Linked DNA regions of Saccharomyces cerevisiae S288C. The main gene of each other region encodes a partner of the protein of the gene in region 2 in a complex. Each region holds a gene or a part of one and is shown on either strand. Other genes may lie near its edges. The genes, in order: UPS1 and MDM35. A codon is read from its position in the direction of its gene.

Evidence for each region.
Region 1: the proteins of MDM35 (region 2) and UPS1 are in contact, whole or in part, in a crystal structure (PDB 4XHR), measured with the Saccharomyces cerevisiae proteins. Residues at the interface, in NP_012870.1 of Saccharomyces cerevisiae: Ser6 (codon at 3,795), Ala7 (codon at 3,792), Ser8 (codon at 3,789), Phe9 (codon at 3,786), Lys17 (codon at 3,762), Tyr20 (codon at 3,753), Phe24 (codon at 3,741), Asn25 (codon at 3,738), Trp27 (codon at 3,732), Tyr28 (codon at 3,729), Ser29 (codon at 3,726), Phe32 (codon at 3,717), Leu33 (codon at 3,714), Val38 (codon at 3,699), Trp46 (codon at 3,675), Tyr49 (codon at 3,666), Thr50 (codon at 3,663), Val53 (codon at 3,654), Leu57 (codon at 3,642), Gln60 (codon at 3,633), Ile62 (codon at 3,627), Ala65 (codon at 3,618), Leu66 (codon at 3,615), Glu68 (codon at 3,609), Ala69 (codon at 3,606), Arg70 (codon at 3,603), Glu72 (codon at 3,597), Pro74 (codon at 3,591), Phe75 (codon at 3,588); in NP_013294.1 of Saccharomyces cerevisiae: Phe15 (codon at 3,955), Ala16 (codon at 3,952), Ser19 (codon at 3,943), Arg20 (codon at 3,940), Phe23 (codon at 3,931), Asn24 (codon at 3,928), Tyr26 (codon at 3,922), Pro27 (codon at 3,919), Leu35 (codon at 3,895), Ser36 (codon at 3,892), Ile37 (codon at 3,889), Asp38 (codon at 3,886), Thr39 (codon at 3,883), Ile40 (codon at 3,880), Ser41 (codon at 3,877), Arg42 (codon at 3,874), Val44 (codon at 3,868), Gly48 (codon at 3,856), Asn49 (codon at 3,853), Leu50 (codon at 3,850), Arg51 (codon at 3,847), Thr53 (codon at 3,841), Leu55 (codon at 3,835), Trp77 (codon at 3,769), Ile79 (codon at 3,763), Val81 (codon at 3,757), Ser82 (codon at 3,754), Val83 (codon at 3,751), Val84 (codon at 3,748), Pro86 (codon at 3,742).

The regions. Positions count from the first base shown.
Region 1 is NC_001144.5:536,540-544,924, forward strand, and holds UPS1 (Ups1p), read right to left. Parts: upstream 3,998-8,385; coding exon 3,470-3,997; downstream 1-3,469. Other genes in the region: MMR1 (Mmr1p), read left to right, coding at 1-150; peroxin PEX13, read left to right, coding at 733-1,893; HCR1 (translation initiation factor eIF3 core subunit j), read right to left, coding at 2,253-3,050; NCW2 (Ncw2p), read right to left, coding at 4,270-5,034; glycylpeptide N-tetradecanoyltransferase NMT1, read right to left, coding at 5,398-6,765; rRNA-processing protein PWP1, read left to right, coding at 7,429-8,385. UniProt on the Saccharomyces cerevisiae protein: Required for maintenance of normal mitochondrial morphology. Required for PCP1-dependent processing of MGM1.
Region 2 is NC_001143.9:335,633-343,591, forward strand, and holds MDM35 (Mdm35p), read right to left. Parts: upstream 3,811-7,959; coding exon 3,550-3,810; downstream 1-3,549. Other genes in the region: OAR1 (3-oxoacyl-[acyl-carrier-protein] reductase (NADPH)), read right to left, coding at 1-525; DNA damage-responsive RNA polymerase-degradation factor DEF1, read right to left, coding at 905-3,121; ASK1 (Ask1p), read right to left, coding at 4,036-4,914; SFK1 (Sfk1p), read left to right, coding at 5,680-6,741; LPX2 (Lpx2p), read right to left, coding at 7,220-7,959. UniProt on the Saccharomyces cerevisiae protein: Involved in mitochondrial distribution and morphology. Mediates the import of UPS1, UPS2 and UPS3, 3 atypical mitochondrial intermembrane space (IMS) proteins lacking the two major IMS-targeting signals, into the intermembrane space.

The DNA.
Region 1 (8,385 bases), on a different chromosome or scaffold from region 2:
ACGGATGCTAATACTAGCGAAGATTTAAATGTTGCTTTTGAAGAGGAGCCAACTTCTGCTATTTCCACAACAGCATCTGTGCAGAGTGGGGAAAGTAAAAGAGGTTTCCAACTTAACCTTCCTGTCCAAGTGGAGAAGAAGGAAAAATGAAGCGTCAACTTCAAATTAAATTAACTTATTTTACACAAACATTCACAATACATCAATGCTGATAGGCGCTTTGTATTGTAGGCTATCGAGTTACGCATCTGCAATGTGCGTGATTTCTCCGTTATCCATCCTTCTCATTGGACAATTTTTATTTGAATATTACTGAACTTCAAAGGGCTTGTCGTGTGATTTAATCTTTTTTCTTACAACGTCGAATGCTGCAGCTATTTATTCATAGTGTCGTCTAAGCAAATACCCCGCTTTTAAAAGCTGAATAGAAAATCCAATCACGGTGTGACTGGTATCACAAACACATAATTTATATATTGCATTCAAGTTTATTCAACCTATACTTAAATACATTAATTACCAAAAAAAATGATATAATAAAGTCTTCTTTTATCTGATTAATGACACCTTTTTCAGCGGGCCAAATTTTTTTTATTTCCGAAGCCCGCCGGACTAATATTAATTATATCAGATAGTTGGTGAGCAAACGCATGTGGAAATGAACAACAATTTCGAAAGTGCATATACTATCTATAAATATCAAGGGGATTCTATACTATAACAATACCTGCGATGTCATCCACAGCAGTACCACGACCTAAACCTTGGGAGACCAGTGCTTCGTTAGAGGAGCCACAGCGTAATGCTCAGTCTTTAAGTGCGATGATGACCTCGAATCAGCAGGATTCCAGGCCAACTGAAGAAAGCAATAACAGTAATAGTGCAAGTGAGTCTGCTCCCGAAGTTTTGCCGCGGCCTGCGGCACTTAACTCCTCTGGTACCTACGGCGAATCGAATACAATACCGGGAATATACGGTAATAGCAATTATGGGATACCCTATGATAATAATCCGTATAGTATGAACTCTATATACGGAAACAGCATAGGGAGGTATGGCTATGGAGGATCGTACTATGGCAACAATTATGGATCGTTTTATGGAGGAGGGTACGGTGCAGGAGCGGGATATGGAATGAATAATGGAAGTGGACTAGGTGAGTCGACGAAGGCCACCTTTCAGTTAATAGAAAGTTTGATAGGCGCTGTTACTGGATTTGCACAAATGCTGGAATCTACTTATATGGCCACACACAACTCGTTTTTCACCATGATATCCGTCGCAGAACAGTTTGGTAATTTGAAGGAAATGCTAGGTTCATTTTTTGGTATCTTTGCTATAATGAAGTTTCTTAAAAAAATACTCTATCGTGCTACTAAGGGGAGACTAGGAATACCACCAAAGAATTTCGCAGAATCTGAAGGAAGCAAAAATAAACTAATTGAAGATTTTCAAAAGTTTAATGATAGTGGTACCATAAATTCTAATGAGAAAGCCACAAGAAGGAAAATTTCATGGAAACCGCTACTATTTTTTTTGATGGCAGTATTTGGTTTTCCATATCTACTAAACAAATTTATTACTAAACTACAGACCTCTGGAACCATACGAGCATCGCAAGGAAATGGTAGCGAGCCTATTGATCCTTCGAAGTTAGAATTTGCAAGAGCGTTATATGATTTTGTTCCAGAAAACCCAGAGATGGAAGTTGCTTTAAAAAAGGGCGACTTGATGGCAATTTTGAGTAAGAAAGACCCTCTTGGGAGGGATTCTGACTGGTGGAAAGTGAGGACAAAGAACGGCAATATTGGCTACATTCCGTATAACTATATTGAGATCATAAAAAGACGGAAGAAAATTGAGCATGTTGATGATGAAACGCGTACACACTAGTGCATCAATATTTGCACACATATATTCGCATATATATATAGTAAAATCTAAAGTAATGTAAATATTCCAGGGAGAATCAGCAGAAACGAGACGAAGTACTTCTTAACAAAAAGCCAGATAACGGTGCAAAAACACATTATATTCTCCATCTTGAAAACACAATCTCCTACGTACACATATGCGTATTTATTTTTATATGAATGAAACGCCTATGGATATATATATGGGAATATAGACATTCACAATTTCAGGACAATTGTGATATGGCAATATCCAAGGCCTGCGGTGCTGGGCTTCGCTTTTTTTCACCAACAAAATGAGATGGACAAGTTTATCATAGCAAAGAAACAATAAGCAGATTACATAAAGTCGTCATCACCGAATTCAAAATCGTCGGGGCCATCTAGGTCGAAATCTTGATCTTTCTTAAATGCGCCACCCAAATTGGTCTTACCTTTGACTTTCTTCTTACCAGCACCCCCAGTAGCAGTACCACCTCTAACACGGGCCAGACGAGCTTGCCTCTCCTCTCTTTCCTTATCTTTGATCAAAACGTTCAAAGTAGCAACTGTTTGTCTTATAGATTCGATGGACATTGGTTTTGCTACATCTCTAATCAAATCAATCGCTAACGATGAGGAGTAGTTCAGCGGAGATTTTTTGTTCATTGGTGTAATAGCAGCAGTAAGAGCCTTTCTTAAATCCTGGTACTCTCTCTTTGTTTCGGCGTTAAACAAAGGATGTGTTTCGATAGGTGTGTCCTTGGTAAAGGCGGGTCTTTTTAGAGCTTGTTCCTCTTGTTCCTTTTGTAAAGCACGAGCCCTTGGATGTTCTTCGGCAACACCTAAACCCGCAAACAAATCTGCAGCATTGTTTAAGTCAGACTCCATTTCAGCCTTTTTGATTAATTCTTTACGTGTCTTTTCATCCAATGTGTCAATATCCAATAGGGCTCTGTCAGCGGAGGATTCTTTCCCTTTTTTAACCTTTTTTGGTTGTTCTTTTTTTGGCTTTGGGGCAGGCTTCTTTTCTTCCTCTTCTGCATCCCATGATTGCATGACAGGTTCGTCATCACCAATTTCAGCATCCCATGAGTCCATCAAAACGGCGTCATCATTACCCATAGAACCATTGATAGCTTCGTCGTCCCAAGACATTTTTATTACTTTTTTTTTTTTGAGGTGGTGGTTAGGATAGAATAGTTACAAGGAACTCAAAAGATAGTAAGATAATTTAAAGCGAGAGTTCAAGAATGGTGGGAGCAGTCAGTTCTCAATTCTTTAATGTAGTACTTCTGACTTAGCTAGCATGAAAAAAAAATTCGGAAAATGCCCAAAAACAGGTGTGTTCGTCTAATATGATACAGGGACGACCATAATATCAAGATTAGTGACATTTGATGTATAGTTTAGCAGAATGACTGTTATAAATAAATAATTATATATGTGTGTATATTAAATTTTGTTGAACCAGCGCTTATTTACAATTTTTAGGACGTGACCAAATGCGAGCTGCACTAGTTTTCTCAATTTCGCTCGCCCATGGTGATATCTTTAAAGATCTTTAAATGGGAACATCAAAACTGAGGATTTCTCGCCTCTTCGAGTTTTTGGATAACAAATGCCATGCCCATTCTGCTTTTCTTAACGTTTTCGTCAAATTTAGTGCGCGACCAATCCTCTACCTTAGATTTGATACCCATATTGAAGCCACTTGAAAACTTCACCCGGCTGTCTGCTATCGTACTACTTGTAGCACTGTCAAATTGATAGGTAGTATATTCTTCAACCTTCATGATTCCAGTGTGATCCAGATTCCTAGTGTAAGTTTTCATTGTGGAGTTAGCGGGGTTCACTACGGAAACTTCGATTATCCATGTTTCTGTTATACCTCTTAAAAAGGGTTTGACCCATGTGGGCAGCTTTCCGGACTTTTTCAACAGCCTCGTTGTGCGCAAATTTCCTTCTTGATCAACGTTCCTTGATATTGTGTCTATGGATAGTACATGGGGGGAGTATGGATTGGGGTATCTATTAAAAAAGGCGCGTGAAACAGAGGCAAAATCGGTAGGAAATATATGTGTGCTTTTGTGTAAAAGGACCATTGCAACTCTTAAGGATATCTTACCGCCGTCTCAGAAGCCAGACAATACTTATTGAATATGATTACTCATCCATCTGTCATATATATTTTTTTTTTCTAGCTTATTATCCAGGGAGAGCGAGAAATACTGCGGAGTTTTTCACCCGAAAGAAAAAAAATACGCAAGCACGATGATAACAATAGTTATATTATTGGTTACCTACAGTGTATAAAAAGAAAGAGTTTTATTAAAATGCAGAACTATGTGGTGGTATACAGAACTGATTATACATTCTATAACAAAAGGGCACCAACGGCGAATGCACCCGCACCATAAGCTATGTGAGTGCCGGCAAAGGCGCCATTGGTAGAATTGGACATTACGGACGCTACCTTACCGTTGACTGTAGACTTGTATGTAGTGGTCAGTGTCTCTACTGTAGAACCTGACGTAGTGGTATAAGTTGATTTGATAGTGCTTACTACCTTGGTGCTTGATTCCGGTTTTGATGAGGATCCCGAAGATGATTTACTTGATGAAGCCGTGTTGTCAGTTGTGGCTGAGGACGGTAGCCACCAAACAGTAGATGTGTAAGTCTCACCTAACGAATTCGTGGTAGTTACTATAGTAACTGGCCCGTCCGTTGATGTTGATGTCGTTGAGGAGGATGCGGAGTTGGTGATTCCGCTTGACGTCTCTCCGGTGGGCTGCACAGAGGCAGTTGAAGTTGTGCTTACGGCAGAGTTGCTTTCGGCCACCCACCATAGGTACTGTGTCGTGGTTTTGCCTTGTGCATCCGTCGTCACTACGGTGGTACTTGGAGCCACAGCATAGGTGTTGCTGACGACGTTGCTAGTTTGTACTAAGCTTTTTCCGGTAGAAACTACAGTTGATGCGCTTTCTTGGGCTTCCTTTGTCGTGGTAGGTGTGATCTCTTGAGAGTTTGAGCTTTCCTTTTGTGAGCTATCTTCAGAGTTCTGGCCATCTAAGGAACCAGAGTCTTTTTGAGCAGCGGCTAGAGTAATTAAGGTGGTAAATAATATGGAACAGGCCTTCATTTTATATATATGTTGGGTTTGTTTATATTTTCACTAGATCGGTGAGTATCTAGTCCAGAAGAGTTGATCTTTCTTACATACTTATATATGCTCACTACCGCCTTCTGAGAAAGTAGGCGTTTTTCAGCTACCTCAGTCGCTAAAAATAAATGCGAGTTCTCAAGCCAACTTGGACTCCAAGGCGGTAATTATAGTGATTCTCTTTGTCTATTTTTGGATTTATTTTGGAGGCTGACACTCTAAAGCCAGCCATTGGATTAATTATTTTTTCACTTCGTCAATTGACTATGCGGAAAAACTAAATGTGGTCAAATTCTGTCGGCTATGTACACGAAAACTATATACGCCTCGTCCTTTCAGCCACTACAACATAACAACACCGACATTGCTACGCCTTTTAATGTCGTTACTATTGTCGGGATTCAAGCCACCGGTAATCGGCTTTGCTCTATAATTAAATAAATAGAAGTTCAAGAACCCGTCACCGGGCCCGAACTTCAAATCATCCAAGAACAATGTATTATCTTGCGAAGTCAACGCGTTAAAAACATCCATATTAGCGTTTTTGGCCAAAATACAAGCGTCATAAATCAATTCACACAATCTTGTTTTCAAAGCCTTAGTAGCTTTTGGATCAAACCTGTCTTTGAATTGGAAATCTGCATCGGTGGCATAATAATACAAGTACCCGATGCCTAGGTCCTTATATTTTGTGTTATTTAGGATTGTGAATGGCAATGAGTAAAATGAGAAGAAGTCTGTAATTTTTCCATCGGGCTGTTCGACTACATATGAGAAAATTACTTGTTTATCCAATGGTAACGATTCTTCACCAATGAAATTATGTTCGAATTCTTCTTTTGTGAAAATTTGAATTAGTTCGAACCTGGATTGATATCTTTTGAACAACTCAAAAACTTGGTCAATATCTTCCTTCTTTAATTTTCTCAATCCCGCTGTCTTTGTTTTGGCCGGTAACGCATTCTCAGCAATCATATCCTCCTCTGTGTGCCCATCTGGTAACCCTGTGAAATCTACTTCATAAAGTTTCTTCCAATTCAAGGGACGATGAGTATAACGACACGTACTCACAGGTGCTGGCAAAACAATACCTGCCGTGTACAATGCATGCCAGATGTCACATTTGTTCACTCGTCTCGTAATTTCTTTAATTAGAACAGGTGTTAATCTCTTCGATCTTAGCTGTTTGTGAACGCACAAGAAATTGATTTCTACACTAGGCACTTGTTTACCTCTAACACCAAGTGTTACTGGTATGGCTGAGATAAAGGCAACTAATTTCTGTGTTTCTTTAACGCGAACACCAATATGCCAATCCTTCTTCCAACCTGGACTCTTTAAAGCCCAATTGAAGAATTCTTTGGTATAGTTAAATCTGAAGCCTGCATCGCGGTCTTCCACGTAGTTTTCATTTAGTAGAACGAAAACATCTTCAAGCTGTTTTTTGTTGTCCACATCAATACTACACCATTCGAAGCTAGACAATAAAGGTAGTGGCTTGTCAGATATATCTTCCGGTGTCTTTGGCTTATCAATGGGGCCTTCTTCCACCACCTTTTCATCGAAATCTTTGACCGGTTGCGTTCTCCAGAATTTGTGGTCTTTCATAGCTTTTTTCTGTTCTTGAGTGAATTTTGAAGTATCGTCATTATTCAACTGTAATAACTTCAATAAATTCTCTAATTTTTTCGCTTTATCCTCTTCTGACATTCTATAAATACGTTTACTACCGAAGCTCTATGACAACCAGAGCTATTGTACAGATCATTCTCTAAAAAGCGTGCAACACATATCATCTTCAATTATAGTGAATTACTTTTATCATGAGCAACGGCTGAAATTATTTTATCCTATTGTTTTATGACAGTATCCTTTCAAAAGAGTCGAAAGGATCCTCTGTTGCAAGAACTACTATTACGTAATTATACATAGTCCGCCTGCAATTTCTAGTGAGACTTTGCTTTGCTTTCCACTTTGCGATTAATATTGAGAATTTTAAACGTTAACTGAATTCTTACCCACCCATAATAAGAACTCTAACTGGCGAATTTATCATGAAACAAATCTGCAAGAATAAAAAATTAGAGAATCGTGCAATTCAATTTAATTGCCTTGTCCGTTGTAAAACTTTTCCATAGGCCCTACCTTGAGTTGATCATATGTATTATTCTATATATATTATATCCAGTCGGGTAATAAATTTTCTCGCCCTCGAAAAAAAGAAGTGAAAAATTTGTCTCGATGAGCTGAGATGAGTTTGAAAGAAGCAAAGAGTTTTAATTTGTAAACGATAGCAAGTGTACCCTCAGTTGAGTCTATTACGCCTTCCTTATTTGGAAACTTAGAAGACGAATAAAAAAAACAAAATAACTAATGATTTCTGCTACTAATTGGGTTCCAAGAGGGTTTTCCTCGGAATTTCCTGAAAAGTATGTTCTGGATGATGAGGAAGTGGAAAGAATTAACCAATTAGCACAGTTGAATTTGGATGATGCTAAAGCTACTTTGGAAGAAGCAGAAGGCGAATCAGGTGTTGAAGATGACGCCGCAACAGGTAGTTCTAATAAGTTGAAGGATCAGTTGGATATAGATGATGATTTGAAAGAATATAACCTGGAAGAATATGACGATGAGGAAATTGCAGATAATGAGGGTGGTAAAGACGTTTCCATGTTCCCGGGTTTAAGTAATGATAGCGATGTTAAATTCCATGAGGGTGAAAAAGGTGAAGATCCATATATTTCATTGCCTAATCAAGAGGATAGTCAAGAGGAGAAGCAGGAGTTACAAGTTTACCCATCCGATAATTTAGTTCTTGCTGCGAGAACAGAAGATGACGTTTCGTATTTGGATATCTACGTTTACGATGACGGTGCTGGGTTCCACAGTAGCGATATTCCCGTTGAAGAAGGTGATGAAGCTGACCCAGATGTTGCTCGTGGATTGGTTCGTGACCCTGCACTTTACGTTCACCATGATTTAATGTTGCCTGCTTTTCCACTATGTGTTGAGTGGCTTGACTACAAGGTTGGATCCAATTCCGAAGAAGCAGCCAATTATGCTGCCATTGGTACGTTTGATCCACAAATTGAAATTTGGAACTTGGACTGTGTTGACAAGGCCTTTCCCGATATGATTCTGGGTGAACCTCTTGATAATTCAATGGTGTCTTTGAAAAGCAAAAAGAAGAAGAAGAAGTCTAAGACTGGACACATTACTACTCATCATACCGATGCTGTTTTATCCATGGCACACAACAAATATTTCCGTTCCGTTTTAGCATCCACCTCTGCAGATCATACCGTAAAACTATGGGATTTGAACTCAGGT
Region 2 (7,959 bases):
TCGAGCAGATTGACCACTGAGTTCCGGCCATCTCCTTTGCGACTTCATCATATACTTAATACAGATGTTTGTCATCGTCACAGGGCTCATAAAGTTAACATTCATTATGTCCTGAATTTGAGATGCAGTGGTTCTTACACTTAATGATTCTTGAGTCAAGCCTGCGCAGTTAATCAATAAGTTTACGTAGTAGCGGCGTTCATTATTTGACCATTTGTTACATGGGTCGAACAATGTGGAATATTTCTGTTTCAAGGGCGGTCTATCTTTGAAATATTCGATACCGTCATATGACTCATAGTCAAGCCAGTGAGGCCATTTCTTAAAATCAATTGCTATAGCACATTGCCGCTGATATGATAATCCCGATTGTAATTGGCCTCTATCTATCGCGGTGCGCTCTATACTTTCTTTAGTAGACCCAAGTATAATGCAACTTAAACCCTTTTGAAATAACTTTTGACATATTGCCTTGCCTATACCCCTAGTGGCACCTGTTACTATCGCAACAGGCAAATAATGCATTTCCAGACTTTTCTTCTCCCACGTCTATACCAATGTACTCATGTGTATTCCATAGTTCTCATCAGTTGCAAACAGTAACGGCGGAAATTTTGACGCTGTGATATATAAAACAGAAAAAGTGGCATTTCCAAAACCCCGCAAAATAAAGACACAGCTAGCTAGATAGATAACACAACATATATATACCTTTTATTATTTACGTACGTATATATATATATGCAAAATTTAAATGATATATGACATCATCAAAAGGATATGGAATCCTTGCCCAAACATTGAAGAAAGTAAAACATAATAGTGGTAATAAAATGTGTATTTAAATTCATTGTATTTTATTCCCCATTTCGTTTTTTATGTGGGAGGTTCTACTTCTCCCTTATTAGTAGAAACCTCTTGAATTTTTAGAATTGTAATCATAACCGTTGTAGCCATATGGTACACCTTGTTGGGCAGCAGCAGCGGCAGCGGCAGCAGCTTGTTGCTGTTGTTGTTGGAATTGATAGTATTGTTGGAACTGCATTTGTTGTTGTGGGTTAACAGGTTGGCCATTTTGCATTTGAACTTCAGGTTGGGGTTGACCTTGAGGTTGCTGTTGCTGTTGCTGTTGTGATTGCTTCTGTTGAGAGTCTTCAGAATGCTGGGCAACACCTTGATTTGGACTTTGCTGTTCCTGACCGTTTTGAGTTTGGTAATAGTTGTAATTGTTCTTTGGTAACTGGTATGGATATTGACCAGCTACACCGTATTGAGGTTGACCATATGGGAATGACTGTTGGTAAAAGTGGGCGTAGTATGGCATGAATGAGCCACCGTATGGCTGTTGTTGTTGAGGTTGGGCGTGAGCTGTAGCTGGAGAAGCGGCAGCAGCAGCGGCAGCACTAGTCAAATTAGCAGCAGCAGTGTTCGCGCCTGCTTGACCATAACCTTGTTGGAAATTATATTGGTTAGCATTACCACTAGTTTGAGCGTTGTTTTGAGCAAGTTGCTGATATTGTTGACCGTAAGCGTATCCTTGTGAATCAAACATACCTGGATAAGAATATCCAGGAAATTGGTTTTGATACATGTAGTACTGTTGGGCAGCCACGTTGTTCCCTTGTTTTTGACTTTGTGGACTTTGCTGTGATTGAGGTTGTTGTGATTGAGGTTGTGGATGCTGTTGCTGTTGCTGAGCATATTGTTGTTGTTGGGACAAATACTGTTGCTGTAACTGATGCTGTTGTTGAGCGTATTGTTGCTGCTGTTGTTGAGTATAGTAGTTTTGAGATAATTGTTCTTCTTGGGCTTGAGCTTGAGCTTGTACTGGTTGTTGTTGCTGTTGCTGTTGCTGTTGTAGTTGTTGTTGTGGTTGTTGTGGTTGCTGTGGTTGTTGTTGTTGCTGTGGTTGCTGTGGTTGCTGTGGTTGCTGTGGTTGCTGTGGTTGCTGTGGTTGTTGGGATTGTTGTTGTGGTTGAGGTACAGTATTAGCTTGATCTTCTGGAGGCTCTGAAATAACAGCACTAATTTCAACCTTTTCTTCAACAACTGTAACTTCTTCTTCTGGAGCAGCAACATTATCTTGTTCTTGTTCCAGCTCTTCCGCTGTCTGTTCCTCTTCTTTTACTTGTTCCTTTTTTTCAGCTTCTTCTTGGACTTCTTCTCCGTCCACTTCAGGGACTCTGTCTTCATTTTCTTCAGAAGGTTCAGCAGTCTCCTCCTCTTGTTCTTGTGCAGATGTTTCTTGTTCATTAACTTTTTCTTCACTAGCTTCAGACTTTTGGTCATCCTTCTTAATATCGCTTATTTCTTTCTTCAATTCAGCAACGTTTTCAAGAGGAGACTCGGTCTTTTTAACAGCCTTTGGCTTTGGTGTAGCAATTGCAGCCCACGACATTTTCTTTGGTTGTGAAGCAGATGTCCTAGAAGTTGTTTTCTTTGAAGATAAAGAAGGTTGCTCTATTTGTTTGTGTTCTTCTTTGTTATTATGCCCTTCCTGCTGTTGTTGCTCTTCTTGCTCTTTTTCTTGATTTTTCTCCTGCGCTTGTTGCCCTTGTGCTTCTAATTCTTCATTATTGTTATCATTTGAATCTTGAGGAACGTCATGTTTAGTATCTACAGAAACAGCTGCTGCCCACGATGTAGTGTTTGAAACAGGCTTGGATGGTACGTGCTTCCCCTTGTCGAGATTAACATGTTTCCCGGTTGTATGAGCTCGTGGTGTTTGTACCTTCTTCTTATTTCTGGCTTGAGTATAATTGTTACTACTGTTATGCTTTGTAGAAGTAAAAGAATTGCTATTATTAGAACTCTTATATGTAATATCATCTTCTGGATTTGGCAAATGTTGTTGAGGGACATATGAGTGTTGTTGCTCCTTTTTTTCATATTTTTCCTTCTTAGCAGGTTTCTTTACTTCATCCCATCTTGTCACTGCGCCGGAAGTAATTTTATCAATTATAGTTTCCAAATCATCATATTCTTGAACTATATCAATTAAATCATCACTCGTCCAGTCAGGGAACAATTCTGTAAGCGTATCTATTTTGGACTTTAGCGCAGGATTTAGTTTTTTACTACTATGACTATTATGATTAGACTTCCTAAATTGTGTAGACATTATATATATATGATGATGTAGATTATATTGAGAAAACGACCAAACAAAAATAAATATGTAAGTACTTTATGATGGTGATTTTTTTGGGGTAATTGGTAAGAGTTTTTCTTGTAGCTTCAAAAGATCAAATATAAAATACGAATGTTTCTGAAATTACTGTAAAAGACTTAGGAAAAGGAATGAAACGTTTATATGGGAGAGAACGAAAATTTTTCCTTTTCCCGCCACTACTTTTTGCCACCATTTCCCGTTATTTATTTGGGCGAGTGCTCACCTCCGACGGAATCACGGGTGACGGATATCCTAAAAAGGTAAAGAATTGAAACAGATCTATTAATATACGGATCACTATACATTATTATAAGTCGATATTGCAGTATTAGTATTTACATGTTGAATAATGCACATTCTGTGCTAAAATATATACTTCATTTGTCAACTTCTTTTAGTTTGCCGCCATTTTCAAACGGCGCCTCCTCCCTAGCTTCGTCTAGAGCAGGCTTAATACCTTGTTTGACGAGAGCTGCGTTGACACATGTAGTATAAGCGTACCATTGTTTTGAGCACTCGTTCTCAACGGATTTTCCCTTCAGGAATTTTTCGCTATACCATTCATTAAAACAACTATCGTATTTCGTCTTCAGGTCAGTGCATTCAGGCGCAAAACTAGCTGACATTATATTCCCCATATAAAACTGGTATTATTGTTATTGTAATTCAAGTTAAAACACAAACAGATGTTTTCTAATGACCTCTCCCGGCATATATCTGGCGCACTTAGAATAAATTTCTACATGCAAATACTCTGAATATTCTGAATGTGGCTCTCCCTATATCGAAGAAAAAATATAGCGGGCCCATTACCCTGCGTTCTGATATTCATCACTAGTAAAAATTGTATGTACTTATTTATTCTATCTATTCGTAGAAAAATGAATGATGGTCCCAGGCTTTGGTACTTCTTTCGTACTCTCTTCTTCATCGGGCCCTTCGTTGTTATCATCCGCTTGTCCCTTCGGGTGGTGGTGCCCCTGCTTCAGAGGCGAGCTCTCTATATTATTGCTGTTCTCATCGTCGTTATCGCCGTCGTTATTAATATGTTCTTCATGAGCCAGTTGCTTCCGCATTTTATTGGGCACAATCGGAGACGGTACCATGCTGGAACTAGACCCGTACTGCTGCTGCAAAAGTAGCGAAATCTTTCTTTTGCGGCTTTGTCTCTGTATTGTACTTTCATCTTGCTCATCATCAGCTCCACCATGACCCTCGCCTGTAAGGTCTGTTTGCTCCCTTGAAGGCACCGCCTCTGAACCAGTATCTTCGTCGCTAGAGTCCGGAAGTTTCAATATCTGTCCCGTGGATGTTATATTCGCTGTGTGGAAATCATCTATACTGTCGTTATTAAACATAGAATGGACATCCCGGTTGACATGTACAGCTGAATCTGCCTCGTTAGGCCCATTGTCTGTCTGGGACTGCCTACTCGCCTCTTCAGCGGATGTAGGAAATATACCAACATTATTGCTCACAAGGCTTTTGACTGGAGCGTTTCCCACTGGTGCAGCTGCATTTGCCTGCAAATTCACCAGCCCAGTCTCTTGAAACATAGTCCCCAGCCATTCGGTGCTATCCATGATCCGCTCACATATTTCTGAATATGTAGCCACGTGTGGGATGATGTCCTGGGTGATCTTATGAAAGCAGAAACTCAAGTTAGAGTCTATCTTCTGCAGGTTCACTGTAATTTCTTGATCAAGTTTTTCCAATGTTTCCTCTTTGCTTGCAGAATCCATTTTTTGTGTCAACAATCCCTTATGTTGCTCTTTCCATACGTTGATCAACCTGGCTCTATTCCCACCCCAAACTGTAGATATCTATTTTGTTGATGCCTCAGCTCACCAAAACAAACCAAAAAAACGGAAAAAAAAAACGGAAAAGAACGGAAACAAACGGAAAAGAACGGAAAAGAAAACAGGAAAAACTCGCTGTTCTGTTACCCGCGCGGCACTACCGCATTTAATCGGAGTAGCTACTAATCAAGCAAGGGCCTCCGTTCCTCTATGACGCACCGGACATATCGCATTTCCACTATAATAGTGCAAGTAGGACGGGATAAGGCCCAAGATTATCAATGAAGACTAACACAACGGTCTTGCCAGCCATATCCAACTCTAAACATCTTCCACGGCTGTTCAAAAACGAAGATCTCTTACCCCTCTGCGGCTTAAGGGCTCTGTTCAATTGAAGGATCCGCGGCAGTAAAGTAAATGGATGAAAAAAAAAAACTGGAAAAATAGCAACTTTTTTCAGCCTGGAAGATTTGTCATCTAAGCGAAGGAGAATGAAACCGGAATTTTCACTCCTTCTTAGGGGCATTCAGTTTATAAATATAGTTATTCCCTGAAGTTGAGATTTACTGATTTAACATCTGGACAACTAAAAACCTAAATAATAAGACACAATTTTTTGCGGGATTTTTTTTCCTTTAGATACTTTTAACATTCATAGTAAAAAGTTCTGCTACATAGTAAAAACACATAGAAGGTACAAGCAATAGCATGATTCAATTTAAAAGTCCAGGTAACTGGCTGTTCATAGTACCCTGGATTGCCTTCATTCCATGGTATGGTATGCTGATAGCCATGCTTATTTGCTGGGCCAGTCAAGGCCATCCCATATATTGGTTCATGCACTCGGAGCAATTCCCTGTGTACATTTCAGATATAGGTGCCACTAATTTAAGGCCACTGTTTATATCGTGCGCCGGCTGGCAGGGTCTAGGCTATGTAATCACTGTTGCCCTTGAGTTTTTTCAAAGATCCGGCTATCTGCCTTTCCAACTGAAAAAAAAAGACCCTTCTATCTCTGATTCCACATCTTATGCTGAGAAATTGCACAGCGGTAAATACTTAATGCCTCCATATTACACAAAGGATGAACGGAACCTGATTTTCGCAGCTTTTGTTCTCGGCAGCATTGGTGAACTAGCCCTTTTATTCAGTTCCATCTTCTCAACCGCCCTGTACCATCGCGTTCACATTGCTATGGTCTCTGTTTTCGTCGTCTTCATGTTCCTATCCACTTGCTGCTTGATTGCAGAGTATTTCCTCATGGGAAGGCACTATGCCTCAGTCCACCCCCTAGCCAGCCCTCATTTCAATCCTCAATCATCTGAAAAAAGCTTTAACCAAGATTATAACACTGTGGATGAGCTGCCTTGGTATAAATGGAAAGGCCATGTATGGAATAAATTTACCATCAGTGCAACTCTAAAAGTTATATGGTTAACTCTCGCAGTTGTATGGGCCATTTGTTTTGGTGCTATCAATGATAGATCTAAGAGTGCTTGTTTCGAATGGTTGCTAGCATTTTGGTTTGGTATCATATTTATGATTCTTTCCGCCGACTTTTATTTAGGTGGAAGATACAGACAATCCCGCTATTTCAACCACGTGGAATCATTTTCGGGTTATTACAAGTATGACAAGGCGCTAGGCCTCTACCACAGTGAAGACGTTTTGCCTTCGGACGATAACGCCGGCGTGATTGCCACAGAAACAGCATCTTCAAATATTTACAATAATTCCTCTTCCAACGAATCTATTCAAGTAGTCGTATGACCTCATATATGCTAGACTTGACTAGGAAATACCCTCTAACCTGCAAGATATATTCATCTTTTTCTTTCCAAAGCACAATTTAATAAAACTTGCAAGAACATCGTCATCATTTCCCCCTTTTATTTTTGTTATCCCCGTTACTGATGTAACTAATACCTAATTCTATGCTTCTCAATCTGTATAGTAGTTTTCCTTTTGCCGAAGAATTTCTTCTGGCTGCTTTTTTTTTTGACATATTTCGCATTGTCCACAATGGTCATTGCGTTAAAAGCTAGAAATTAAAAAGAGAATATTGTTCAGCATATGTAGTTTAAGTTGGCAAATTTGTTCTGCTCTTGATGTACCTAGAATAAATAAATATTAATCAGAAAAATAAAAAAAAAATAAAAGTAATGAAAAAAAATATAACAAAACCAACATTAAGGTATATATTACAGCGAGTAGCGGCACCGGTTATCATCAAACGATTGATAGAAAGTTAGATAACCTCTTTGAAAAAACTTTCCTTAGGAGAGGTATTGGAATCGTTGGAATCGCGAACTCTTATCTCCGATCCCTCTTGATCGTCTTGATCATCTGTAACTTCATTACTATAATCATTTTCTATCGAACCTTGAGAAAAGCCACTAAAAGACCGGCGGCCGTTGTCGTTACAATGGGTAAAATCGTGCCCCTTTTTTGAGTCCATTTGATCCACCACAGGCTCCCTCTTCATAGTTACAGACTCTGTTTTGGATAGTCCTTGTTTATCGGCATTCTTATTAAATAAAAATTGTTCTATCGTTATGGAGCCTCCACTGTTCGCCGCTGGTCTTGAAGATTTATCCCTCTTGTTTGCGATGGAATCTTCACCGGTGCCATCTACTGCTTGGTGCACTTTATATGACTTCACTTCATCGTCAATTAATTCATTCTCCTTATTGGAGGTTGGTGTTTTAGGCCCATCATCCAACACGCCGCTAACACCAGTGATTGACCTAGCACTGGCAGAACTATCAATATCCTTTCCTGTATTATAAGTAGAAAGGAAACGGCTTTTAACAACATCTTTTGGAGATGCACTCTTCCCTATAGGAGTCACTTTTTCATTGTTATCAGGTGTACTCATGATAACATCTCGAGAAAAATTAGAATTATTCTTTGACTCCTCAGTGCCCCTTCTAGACCTCTTAGCCGTTTCCTTCTCCTCTTCGAGCTTCTTTTCACACTCCCGCAGCA